Linked DNA regions of Bombyx mori. The protein of the gene in region 2 purifies or fractionates together with the protein of the main gene of each other region. This does not show direct contact. Links are inferred from orthologs where the notes say so. Each region holds a gene or a part of one and is shown on either strand. Other genes may lie near its edges.

Evidence for each region. Proteins that work in one complex are often made in the same cells at the same time.
Region 1: the proteins of cdc42 homolog (region 2) and formin-binding protein 1-like purify together in Drosophila melanogaster (affinity purification with western blotting; 4 studies listed by BioGRID). This does not show direct contact. The link is inferred for Bombyx mori from reciprocal best matches to the Drosophila melanogaster genes Cdc42 and Cip4.

What each region holds. Positions count from the first base shown.
Region 1 is NC_085121.1:6,512,157-6,517,529, forward strand, and holds part of formin-binding protein 1-like, read left to right. Parts: intron 1-153; coding exon 154-269; intron 270-527; coding exon 528-578; intron 579-1,516; coding exon 1,517-1,661; intron 1,662-4,558; coding exon 4,559-4,710; intron 4,711-5,373.
Region 2 is NC_085107.1:13,963,161-13,968,962, forward strand, and holds the start of cdc42 homolog, read right to left. Parts: upstream 4,094-5,802; 5' UTR 3,945-4,093; intron 3,740-3,944; exon of another isoform or gene 3,543-3,739; intron 2,151-3,542; exon of another isoform or gene 2,081-2,150; intron 1,985-2,080; coding exon of another isoform or gene 1,607-1,984; intron 1,211-1,606; 5' UTR 1,116-1,210; coding exon 938-1,115; intron 859-937; coding exon 749-858; intron 612-748; coding exon 414-611; intron 1-413. Other genes in the region: uncharacterized protein LOC134199721, read right to left, coding at 1,607-1,984. UniProt on the Drosophila melanogaster protein: Regulates mbt kinase activity and is also required to recruit mbt to adherens junctions. Together with mbt and Frl, regulates photoreceptor cell morphogenesis. Together with Frl, has a role in the neuronal development of mushroom bodies.

The sequences.
Region 1 (5,373 bases), on a different chromosome or scaffold from region 2:
ACCAAATCGATCCAGCCGTTCTCGAGTTTTAGCGAGACTAACGAACAGCAATTCATTTTTATATATATAGATTATAAACATAAGAGAATTATCATCTTACAATAGTGAATTATAATTTAAGATAGTATAATAAAACTGTATTTTCTTTTTCAGGATCAATATGATAACTTAGCCGCCCATACGCACAAAGGAATCGAGTTTTTAGATAAATATGGAAACTTTGTCAAGGAGAGGTGCGCTATAGAACTAGAATATGCAGGAAAACTCAGGTCAGTATAAATATTCATCACGTTATGTTATCCTTCTAATAATAATAATATGTTAAGTAATGCATGTTATATAAACTTAAAACGATAATGGAGTCACGAGAAAGTTTAACAAGGAGCAAAGAACTGGTTGCTCCAGTTTGATTATAAGAACAAAAAAAAAACTGTCACTTTTACTATGCAAATAATATACATATACAAGTTAGTTTTCGATTAAATGATTGCATGTACTATCTATTATAATTGATTTTGACATTGCAGGAGGCTTGTCAAAAATTATCAACCAAAAAGGAAAGAAGAAGATGAATACCAGTGAGTAACCGTTTAAAGAATAAAATAATGTGATTATTGGGATTATGTGTTAGAAGCTTAAAAAAAAGTGATTCTAGTATCTAATTAATGTAGCTGATGCCGTTGTCTTCATGCCCCGATCACCGTTCTCGTCGAACCCGTCGCTTGCGACGAAGGGTTCGGCGAGTAAATTAACCCACAGACACAGCCCACTGAGTTTCACGTCGGATCTTCTTAGTGGGTCGCGTTTTCGATCCGGTGGTAGATTCTGCGAAGCACGGCTCTTGCTAGGGTTCGTGCTAGCAACATCATCAGGTTTAAGTCCTGTGAGCTCACCTACTAGCCCGGTGACGCTGATATGGTCTCTCTCTAGACCATCAGCTTAGGACGGTTTTTCTATTAACTGTATCGCCTAGCTGTTAAGCGGCGACATCCCAAAGACTCCCCAATGTATGTATATGCTTCTGCCTACTTTGAGTGATTAGTTAAAATCTCAATCGAATTGATACAATGGTTGTGAAACACACCACTGCTTCACGGTAGTAATGATGTTACCGTACGTACCGTATAAAGAGAAGAAGAATAGGTAAAAAACTTTCCTTTCTAAGATTAGAAAGATTGCTGCCAGAACCGGATGATAGGAAGTAGCAGAAATATCCCGATCACGAAGCGCCCACGATCTTCGTTTAGAATATGACTAATAGGAATACATTTCATTCTTTTCATCTGGATTTTTACATCTGACGTTTGCCATGGTTAACAAGATGTATAAAAATAACCAAAAAACTTTCAGTTGCTGCAGACTTAACTCATTTTTTGTTAAAATGGGTAATTCGCATTTTAATAAATTTGATTAGAAAAGAATTCTGCTGATGAACAAATAATATGTTTACGTCCTGAGAAACGGAAATGTATTCGAGTAATAAAATCAAAAGCTTTTATTCGTGTTACGTTTTTAGGTATACAGCATGTAAAGCATTTAAACAGTTACTGCAAGAGTTAGGCGATTTCGCAGGACAACGGGAAGTTGTCGCGGAAAATCTTCAATCAAATGTAGTCCGAGAGTTGCACCTGCTCGCCAAAGAATTGCGAGAGGAAAGAAAGGTTTGTTTATAATTTTCATTCACTAGTTTTAAACATGTTTAACGTTTAGAAGCAATTGATTGCACTCCGTTATGCTTAGTATAGTTTCAGTGCTGTATGATCTATATCTATACTTCTATATCTATCTATACTAAAATATAAATCTACAGTGGTTTTTACGGATGTTCCGTTATAACTACCGAACCATGCATCCGATTGACTTGAAACTTGGTATCCATGTAGAAAATACATGTACTTAATGGATAGGCTAATATTTATATGAGTGTTGGACTCCCTACACCAGTTGCGGGGGTGTTAATGATGAGAATCTTTGTAGGGGTGACAAATCATAATGTCAATTTTAAATGCCAAGCGAAGCGGACGGGTACAGCTAGTAGTTTAATAGAAACAAACAAACCTTCAATATTAGCGAATAAACTTTACGATTTTCTAATTATATACACGAGACAGTGAAAATATTGAATGATTTTTGTCCGCAACCATTACTCTAACTAGCAAATTTAAAATAAACACATAAGTTGAACATTGTAAACGACAGTAAGTTGGTTAATAAAATACGACCACGATTCATTGAACTCACATTGCTTTGTGGTCGGTGCGATAGTTTCTTGGAAATATAGATTAATACAAAACGTTATGATGTTTCTCTGTAAACAGTCAAGAGTAGACATGAACTCGCCTATTCCGTACGTGTCATGCTTGAACCCAACTACATTGTAATTTCAGATAAACTACACAATTGCACTAAGCTAAAACTAAAATATTTTGCGTTTCGAATTATAATTACTAATTTTGATTTATTATTTCCTCGCTCCGAATAATCAAAGAAATGTCTATCAGCGTCACATTTCATTATGAGACCCACATACATTTATTTTTAAATCTATAAATCTTGTAAACGGAATGCAAACAAGTTTCTTAAGATATGCCGTTATTTGCACCGCGTTCGAGAATTTCTTCTGTGTATTCCTTTTTATTGCTCGATTATATAATGTATCATCAAAACTGTTTTGTTAATTATCTGGCAAGCAGTTTGGCTGTGCTCCTCGCGTTAACATAAGTAGGCTATACGAGGGTCTTTCAACCACCGCGACACATTGGTGTGTTGCAAACCCCTATCAAGGATATCACGAGATTAACAAATACGATATTTTTATCTAAAGTGACACCACCGAATTCGCATTTCTTGTATGTAAGGGTTTTTTTTTTTTTTTTGCTTAGCTGTGTGGACGAGCTCACAGCCCACCTGATGTTAAGTGGTTACTGGAGCCCATAGACATCTACAACGTAAATGCGCCACACACCTTGAGATATAGTTCTAAGGTCTCAGTATAGTCACAACGGCTGCCCCACCCTTCAAACCGAAACGCATTACTGCTTCACGGCAGAAATAGGCGGGGCGGTGGTACCTACCCGTTCGGACTCACAAGAGGTCCTACCACCAGTAATTACGCAAATTATAATTTTGCGGGTTTCATTTTTATTACACGATGTTATTCCTTCACCGCGGAAGTCAATCGTGAACATTTGTTGAGTACGTATTTCATTAGAAAAATTGGTATGGTATGGTAATGTATAATGGTAAAGTATGGTAATGCGTCGCTGAACAAAAAAATATTGTGAGGTTATAAGATGTGATATGATGATAAGGTTATAAGACGCATACGACTGGGTTGGTCGGCATTTGGGAAATTCCGTGCAATACTCACCTCGCAAATTCCTCAATGCCTGAAGACAAAAGTCTTTAACCAGTGCATTCTCCCCGCTATGACCTACGGCGCGGAAACCTGGACACTGACGGCAGGGCTGGCCCATAAGTTAAGAGTCGCACAGCGGGCGATGGAGAGAGCTATGCTAGGTATTTCTCTAAGGGACAAAATCCGGAACGAAGAAATTCGACGGAGAACCAAAGTCGACGACATAGCTCTCAAAGTTAGCAGGCTGAAGTGGCAATGGGCCGGTCACATCTGTCGAGCCAGCGACGCCAGGTGGGGGAGGAAAGTCCTCGAATGGAGGCCACGGATGGGTATAAGGAGCGTGGGGCGTCCTCCAACCAGGTGGACTGACGACTTAGTGCGCACGGCGGGAAGTCGTTGGATGCGGAAGGCGGAGGACCGCATTATGTGGAAGGCATTGGGGAAGGCCTATGTCCAGCAGTGGGCAGATAAAGGCTGATGATGATGATGATGATGATGATAAGATGTGAAGCCAATCAATGTCAGTAAAAGAAATTGATTAAAAAAAGAAAGTATTGCCAAAATATGAACAGCTATAATTCTTCGGTCACAGGTCTAATAAGATGTCTGGGTGAATAATAAATGTCAGATTTACGGTTGATGTCGTGCTTATCTTGTTTCATTTTTTAGTTGGACATTTCGAATACTTACAGCTTTCGGGGTCACGGAAGGTAAAATTGATTACTTTCAAAAATCGACACCAATATCATGTTAACTGAATGATAAATATATTGAATTACTTATTTTCATTTATTTTTTTAATTGGTGAAATTCTTCAATAGATAAACATGACATAAATTTCAAATTAAAGAAAAATATTTAAACTCATTTTAATTCATACTAACATATAAAAAATCTACAGTGGTTTTTACGGATGTTCCGTTATAACTACTGAACCATGCATCCAATTGACTTGAAACTCGGTATCCATGTAGAAAATACATGTACGTAATGGATAGGCTAATATTTATATGAGTGTTGGATTCCCTACACCAGATGCGGGGGCGTTAATGATGAGAATCTTTGTGGGGGAGAGAAATAATCATGTTAATTTTAAATGCTCAGCGAAGCGGACGGGTACAGCTAGTAAATTCATGAAAATCTAAAGAAATCTGTTATTAAATATTTTTTAAATAATAAAATAAGTTTCGTTTTTTCCAGCAACATTTAAACGAAGGAGCAAAACAAATGGGAGTTCTGAACACTTCGATAGGTTCACTGGAACGAGCCAGGCGAGCGTACGAACGTGCGGCGAGGGAGTCGGAAAGAGCACTCGAGACCTTCCAAAAGGCAGACGCTGACCTCAATCTAAGGTGATTATCTAATAATATTGGCTCTCCCAATATTTCTCTCGACATTTTAAACATCTTGAACGTTTTATGTTATTTATTAGTTGTACAGCTCTTTTAAAGTTGTAGTTAATAATAATCAAGATACGCTGTTTTTGCCATTTGAATATTTGATAAATAGAGGTCGTCCCAAGTGATTTCTACAACATTTGAACAGGATAACGTGTTGAATTGATCAAATTTTATGTAGCACAAATTAAATTTATTATTGTACTTAAAAATAAATTCTTATCTATAATAAATTCTATATTTTTATTTGTGAAAACACGAAAATTTTCAATGTTAATTCCAGAACATAAATAAAATTTAACGTGAACATTTGCAGTAAATGGTATATTTGAAGCAAACGTAACTATACTGACATCTTAGAACTTATATCTCGAGGTGGGTGGCGCATTTACGTTGTAGATGTCTATGGGCTTCTGTAACCACTCGACACCAGGTGGGCTGTGAGCTCGTCCATCCACCTAAGCAATAAAAAAAAATACGTTATACAATCCAAATGGCACACATGAGAGATGCTATACGTATATTTTTATACTTTATTATAAAGGCTTTGAAAATCTTTAAAAGCTTACTACTTAATTACTGTAGTGGTCATCGTCACTGAAGGACGAACAAGCCGAT
Region 2 (5,802 bases):
CAGACCACACCAGAGCAATAGGTAGGACATAGATGAATATGATGTACTTTCCAAAGAAAATTATTGCTTACAGTGTATACTATATTTCATTTATGTAGAAAAGAAAAACTTAAAAGCTAAAACTTAAAAAACTTAAAATTTAATTTTTAAAATATTTGACAGTAAAATACTACATTTTCAATCATTTTCTTTTTATAACCCTGGAAATCTATAATTACTTAAGCAGTCTAGACATATTATATGTGCAACAGTACAGCATCGGAGTGGAGGCATCCACTATTTCTCTAATTACTTTCTTTGGATCTTTGTAGGTATATTACTTTTAAACAAACATCAGGTATGCAGGCATGAGCAGATATTATAAAATATTTTTACCATCAGAAATAATATTTTTTTGGGATATATTTTCATACCTGGGTAAGCGCTGAGCATTCTACATATTTGACAGCCTTAAGCTCTTTTGCCAATTTCTCTCCTTGTTCCAATGAAACCGGCTTCTGTTTTATTTTAGCAAGTTTCTCCATTGTAGCCGAATCATCGCGCAAGTCTATTTGCGTCCCAACCAACAAAAACGGTGTCTTCTGTTGATGATGAGTTATTTCAGGGACCCACTGGAAAGTCAAATACTCAGATTAGTTTCCATACTAGCTAAATCTTATTTACTAATTTTTACATCACTATCTTTGATTTAAGTCTATATCATGTATATAATGAATTATATAATAAATTACAATACTTTTTAATATACCTTTTCCTTTACATTTTCAAATGAACTAGGGCTCACAACACTGAAGCATACAAGGAAAACATCTGTTTGAGGATAACTCAGTGGTCTTAGCCTGTCATAATCTTCCTGACCTGAAATGAAGATGTATAATTTATAATGCATGTTAATTTTTCATACCAAAACAAATTTCCAATAAATAGTAAATTTTACCTGCAGTATCAAAAAGACCTAGAGTGTAAGGTTCACCTCCAATCATGACAGTGACTGCGTAGTTATCAAATACAGTTGGAACATACTCTGATGGAAATTTGTTAGTTGTATAGCTGATCAGAAGACATGTTTTACCAACAGCACCATCACCCACAACAACACATTTTATTGTCTGCATCTTTAAACAATTAGTTGTTTCTTCACAATTTGTACACCAAATTTTCTTTTATTATAGGGACTATTTGGTTCATAGCAAACTCTGATAGAAAGTTTCTGGAACAAAACAATTGGGGGTGTTTCAAAATAGGCATAAATTAATGTAATAGTAGAATAATAAATTAATAAATTATAAATATAAATCGGATGGTGGAATATCTGGGGTATACAGTGGCAGAGTAAGACACCCCATTTGAGTGTTTCAAAGTAAGTTTAAATGGATTTGGCAAGGTGAGGCCTAATGATGTCATACAGGGGAATCACTATATCATGTCATATTATGTCCATATTTTGTGCAGCGCTATATCACATTAATTGAGTTTGGTGTCATTCCCTATGGGTCGTTTCAATTTGGTTTCAACTGCTCAAAATAAATACTCCTGACCTGGTCCCACCAAGTACACAGCACAATCGTCACAGTCTGAGTATACAGCCGAACTGTGCAGGCTAATGCTATGAATATAACTCTTCTTTTTGTAACATTTTGACTTTAACTAATAAGGAATCCAGGCTCCTTGCTTTTGAAATACTTTCAATAGATGTGATAACTTGTAAATGACTTTGTGAGCAACTGCTTATGCTGAGGCTAGCGGATTTTGCATCAGCCACTGATTCAATCAGATACAAATTTGAAGACAGCGACTTCGTTGAATTTAGCTTTCCTTTACTTTGACAGTCATCAATATCGAAACCACTGTCTATGAACTGACTGAACCAATCACAGCATATAGTTTCGCTTAAAGCAGCATTGCCATAAACTTTTTGTAGTTCTCGAAGAGCTTCATCCAGCGTATTTTTCAAATGAAAGAAGAAAAGAAACACTTCCCGCATATGATACTTATTTGTTATAAAATCAGACAGTTTCACACAACCAAAAGTATATGTAACAACATAATTTTCAATAAATTTAATGTTTCTTTTATTTACCATCTGTCTAAGCTTGGTTCACAATATATTTGATCTATCAAAATCGACCAGCACTTACTGCTGCAGCCATCTATTGAGAAACAGCGAGAACTTAGTTGCAAGCCTTATACATATATTATTACTACATACCTACATACTCTTTTTATGATTGCGAGCATAAATTCCACTGTAGAAATTGTATTGTAAACAAAATCATGTTACAGACAAACTTGCTTAGTTTATAATTTTCTTTTTAACAGAATTAAAATAAAATATTACTATTAAGCATGTGATGCAATGTTTCTAATAAATACCCACACCCACACATTATTAACTAAGAATGATAAAATAGATTATTCAAAATTAAATTAATAGATCCAGCGATATGAAGGTCGTATACTGTTATTCAAAGTTGAACTAAATGTCAAGTCAACTTCTACATATTTTGTATTAATAAAAATTAATATACACATGGTTTATGATTATGCCAATGATACAGCTTGGAGCTCATACTCCCTGTTATCACCATTCATCCTACAACTACCTAGACATTAACATTATCTGATTTAAAATGTAGCAGTTTCAAATATTATCTTTCAAAATGGGTAAAAATATCTATACATTGTGATTACTATTAATGGTATTATGAACATTTTGATTCAACTAATGATTTCACTGTGTTAAGTTATTTTATGATCCACATTGAGAAATTTCGCTTAGGCAAGTATTACTGTTGTTTTGGTGATAACAGTAAAATAAAATATTTGTCTTACTTTTACTTTATTGAATATAATAGTACGACTGAATATATGTATAGCTAAACAGTAACCTGGTAATATGTTAAGCCTTTAAATATAACTTTAAATATACCTTATAAAGGTTTTAATATAAAAAAATTGAGGAGAATAAATCATGAGAAAATGAAGATGAGTAATGTTGTTTATTCCATGTATTGGGATACACTGGTTCATAGTTTAATATTATGAGAAGTTAAAACTATTTTTAATCATTGTAAAGATACCATTATCCTCCTAAGCTGCATTCTAATATCCAGTCACTCTTAATTCATTATTGCATTAAGAAATCTTTTTAATTGACAACTGAAATAAGCTCCTTGGGTAGAATACAGTCAATTCTACAACTGTTAAGTTGAAATCAACAATTGATTTAAATAATTTACCATTTTTTATTTTAAATCTAGCAGTCCTTGACCTGAATGTTATTACTGACTTTTTCCAAATCTTCAACTAATTCACGAATTGTTATTAGAAGCCCAACAAAAATACAGTTATTTAGGAGGAAAAAAATATATTTAAAAATGTTAATAGTTAAAAACAAAAGCGATCGACACCCATACTAATTAGCTTTAAGTGCATTACACAAACTGCATTCCGACTCGGCGATAATCAGGGTCTCATACGTCGCATAGCAAATGAAATGCCAAGCACACTACAAAATAGGAACACATTCAAAGGGCATTGACCTTTAAAAGGGTCGAATTAAAAGAAAACTGCTTTTAAAGAACATTTCGAGCACAAAACAAAGAACTATTTCCTGAGATAGTATTGTAGCCGAGCGACCGATAACAGCCAACAGGGTGTGTTTGTCGTCCGCAAGACAAGTGCCTCCGAGTTCCTGTTACCTTTCAGTCCCGTGGTACTATTTGAGTATAAGTATTCAATGGCTACGGAGAATGAAATTAAAGCGATAGGTATAGTGTTAAAAAAAACGATAACTTTCTAGAAATATTTGAAGTATTTTTGCTTTTTTTTACATAATCACGTCACAATAATTTTGACGTCCATTTTGTGTTGTGCTCGACAACAACCACTAATATGGTGTTTTTACCTTATTTGTAATCAATTTCATTTCATTACACACTTACCTAATTACGAAGATAATAAATATTTCAAATGAATACAATAACACCACGTTGTAAATAGGAAATGTTGAATGTTACAGTCTCCAAGTAGCGGGTTGGGTCATTGACGGTGTGACGCCATTGATTGAATAGAGCAGTAAATGCCTAGAAATTTGTCTATGGTCCGAATGTCAACAGTCAGAGAATCGATTTTATCGTACCTTTAGTAAAAAAATATTAACAAAATGGAAATAAAATATTTATTTTAAACGAATTGCTGAGTTAATTTCAATATTTGTTTTAAATCTAAAACATATGCTTCTTTAAAACTATTATAATCATATACTACACATAAATGGAAGGCGTACATAATTATTTAAGTAGGTACGTGTTCCATGATCCGAGGCCGTTGATATGATTCAATAAGAATCAGAGTGTACTTAATTAACACTGATATAAGTAAAGTTTTGGAGGGTCAATCATTTGAGCTCTACAAAGTATAGGACAACGAAAATTCTCACCTGTAGTTATCAGAAAGTAGCTATCCTTTAAATACTTACTGAAATAAATGCTTTAGTAATTTGATGTAATCATTGCGTAATTTAAGTAATATCAAATATTTATCTATACTTTAAATTAAATAGACGGGTTAAGTGATGATGACGCTGTGGAAGGAAATTTACGGGAGCTCCAAGTGTCGGACTGGCAAGATGTTGCGCAGCGCCGGGATGAATGGCAAAGTTTATTGTCGGAGGCCGAGACCCACTTCGGGGTCATAGCGCCAGCTCAGTAGTAGTAGTAGTTAAGTGATTAACGAAGCCTCCTTGCCCTAAACACGTAATTACGGATCCTCCCGATACAAACGGTTCTTTTAGGTACCTTAAGCACCAGTCACCGTTCCCACTGAACCCATCGCTTGCAACGCCGTGCTCGGCGAGTAAATTAACCCACAGACACAGACCACTAAGCTCGTCGCTGGATCTTCTCAATGGGTCGTGTTTCCAATTCGGTGGTAGACTCTGCGAAGCACTGCTCTTGCTAGGGACAGTGCTAGCAACTTCCTTATTAGAGCCCCAAGAGCTCACCTACACGCAAGGGTAACGCTAATATAGCTTCTCAAGGCTATAAGTATTGGTACGAAAAAAGTAGCCTACAGACCAACATAAAAATCGGATGTGCAAAAACGAAACTAATTTATTGATATTCACTGTGAAGTTTGATAATGATTGTTGGAGCAAATAAATCCATAACAAAAAATAACATTGAATATTTGTAACAATTAGGTAAATCGTACAATCTATGTCACATACTCATTTAATCATATACCAATTTTCGTTGTGAAATAGTAGTTGGCAATTAGTATTATGCAATAAAATGCTGTTACATCGTTCATAGAATAAATTGCGCACTATAAAATCGACTAAAAAAAATTTGACGTACTTTCTTAATGTCAAGAATCATTTTTGTCACCTCTTTTGAAAATCTGGCAGGCAATAAAAATAAAAGAAGAATACTTGTACTCCATTTAAAAAACAAGCATAGATGTATATTTAGTGTATTGTATTTGAATTGAGCGTTTAACTGACGTATAATTTGATTTATAATATTGAGTGATTTGCCTTAAAAAAAAAACACAAAACACACTAAGAAAAATATTTTTAAAATAAATTTTTTAACATGCTTTTACTTGGAAAAACTTTTCCAGACTTCTCTGCCAACACAACAGAAGGCGAAATAAATTTTCACGAGTGGCTAGGAGATAAGTATGTTATTTTTAAAAAAGTGAATGAATTTATAAATATAAAAATATGTATGTATCTATATGGTTTTTTTTTTCTTATCTAATAAAAACTATAAATCATATACCTAAAAATATTTAAAC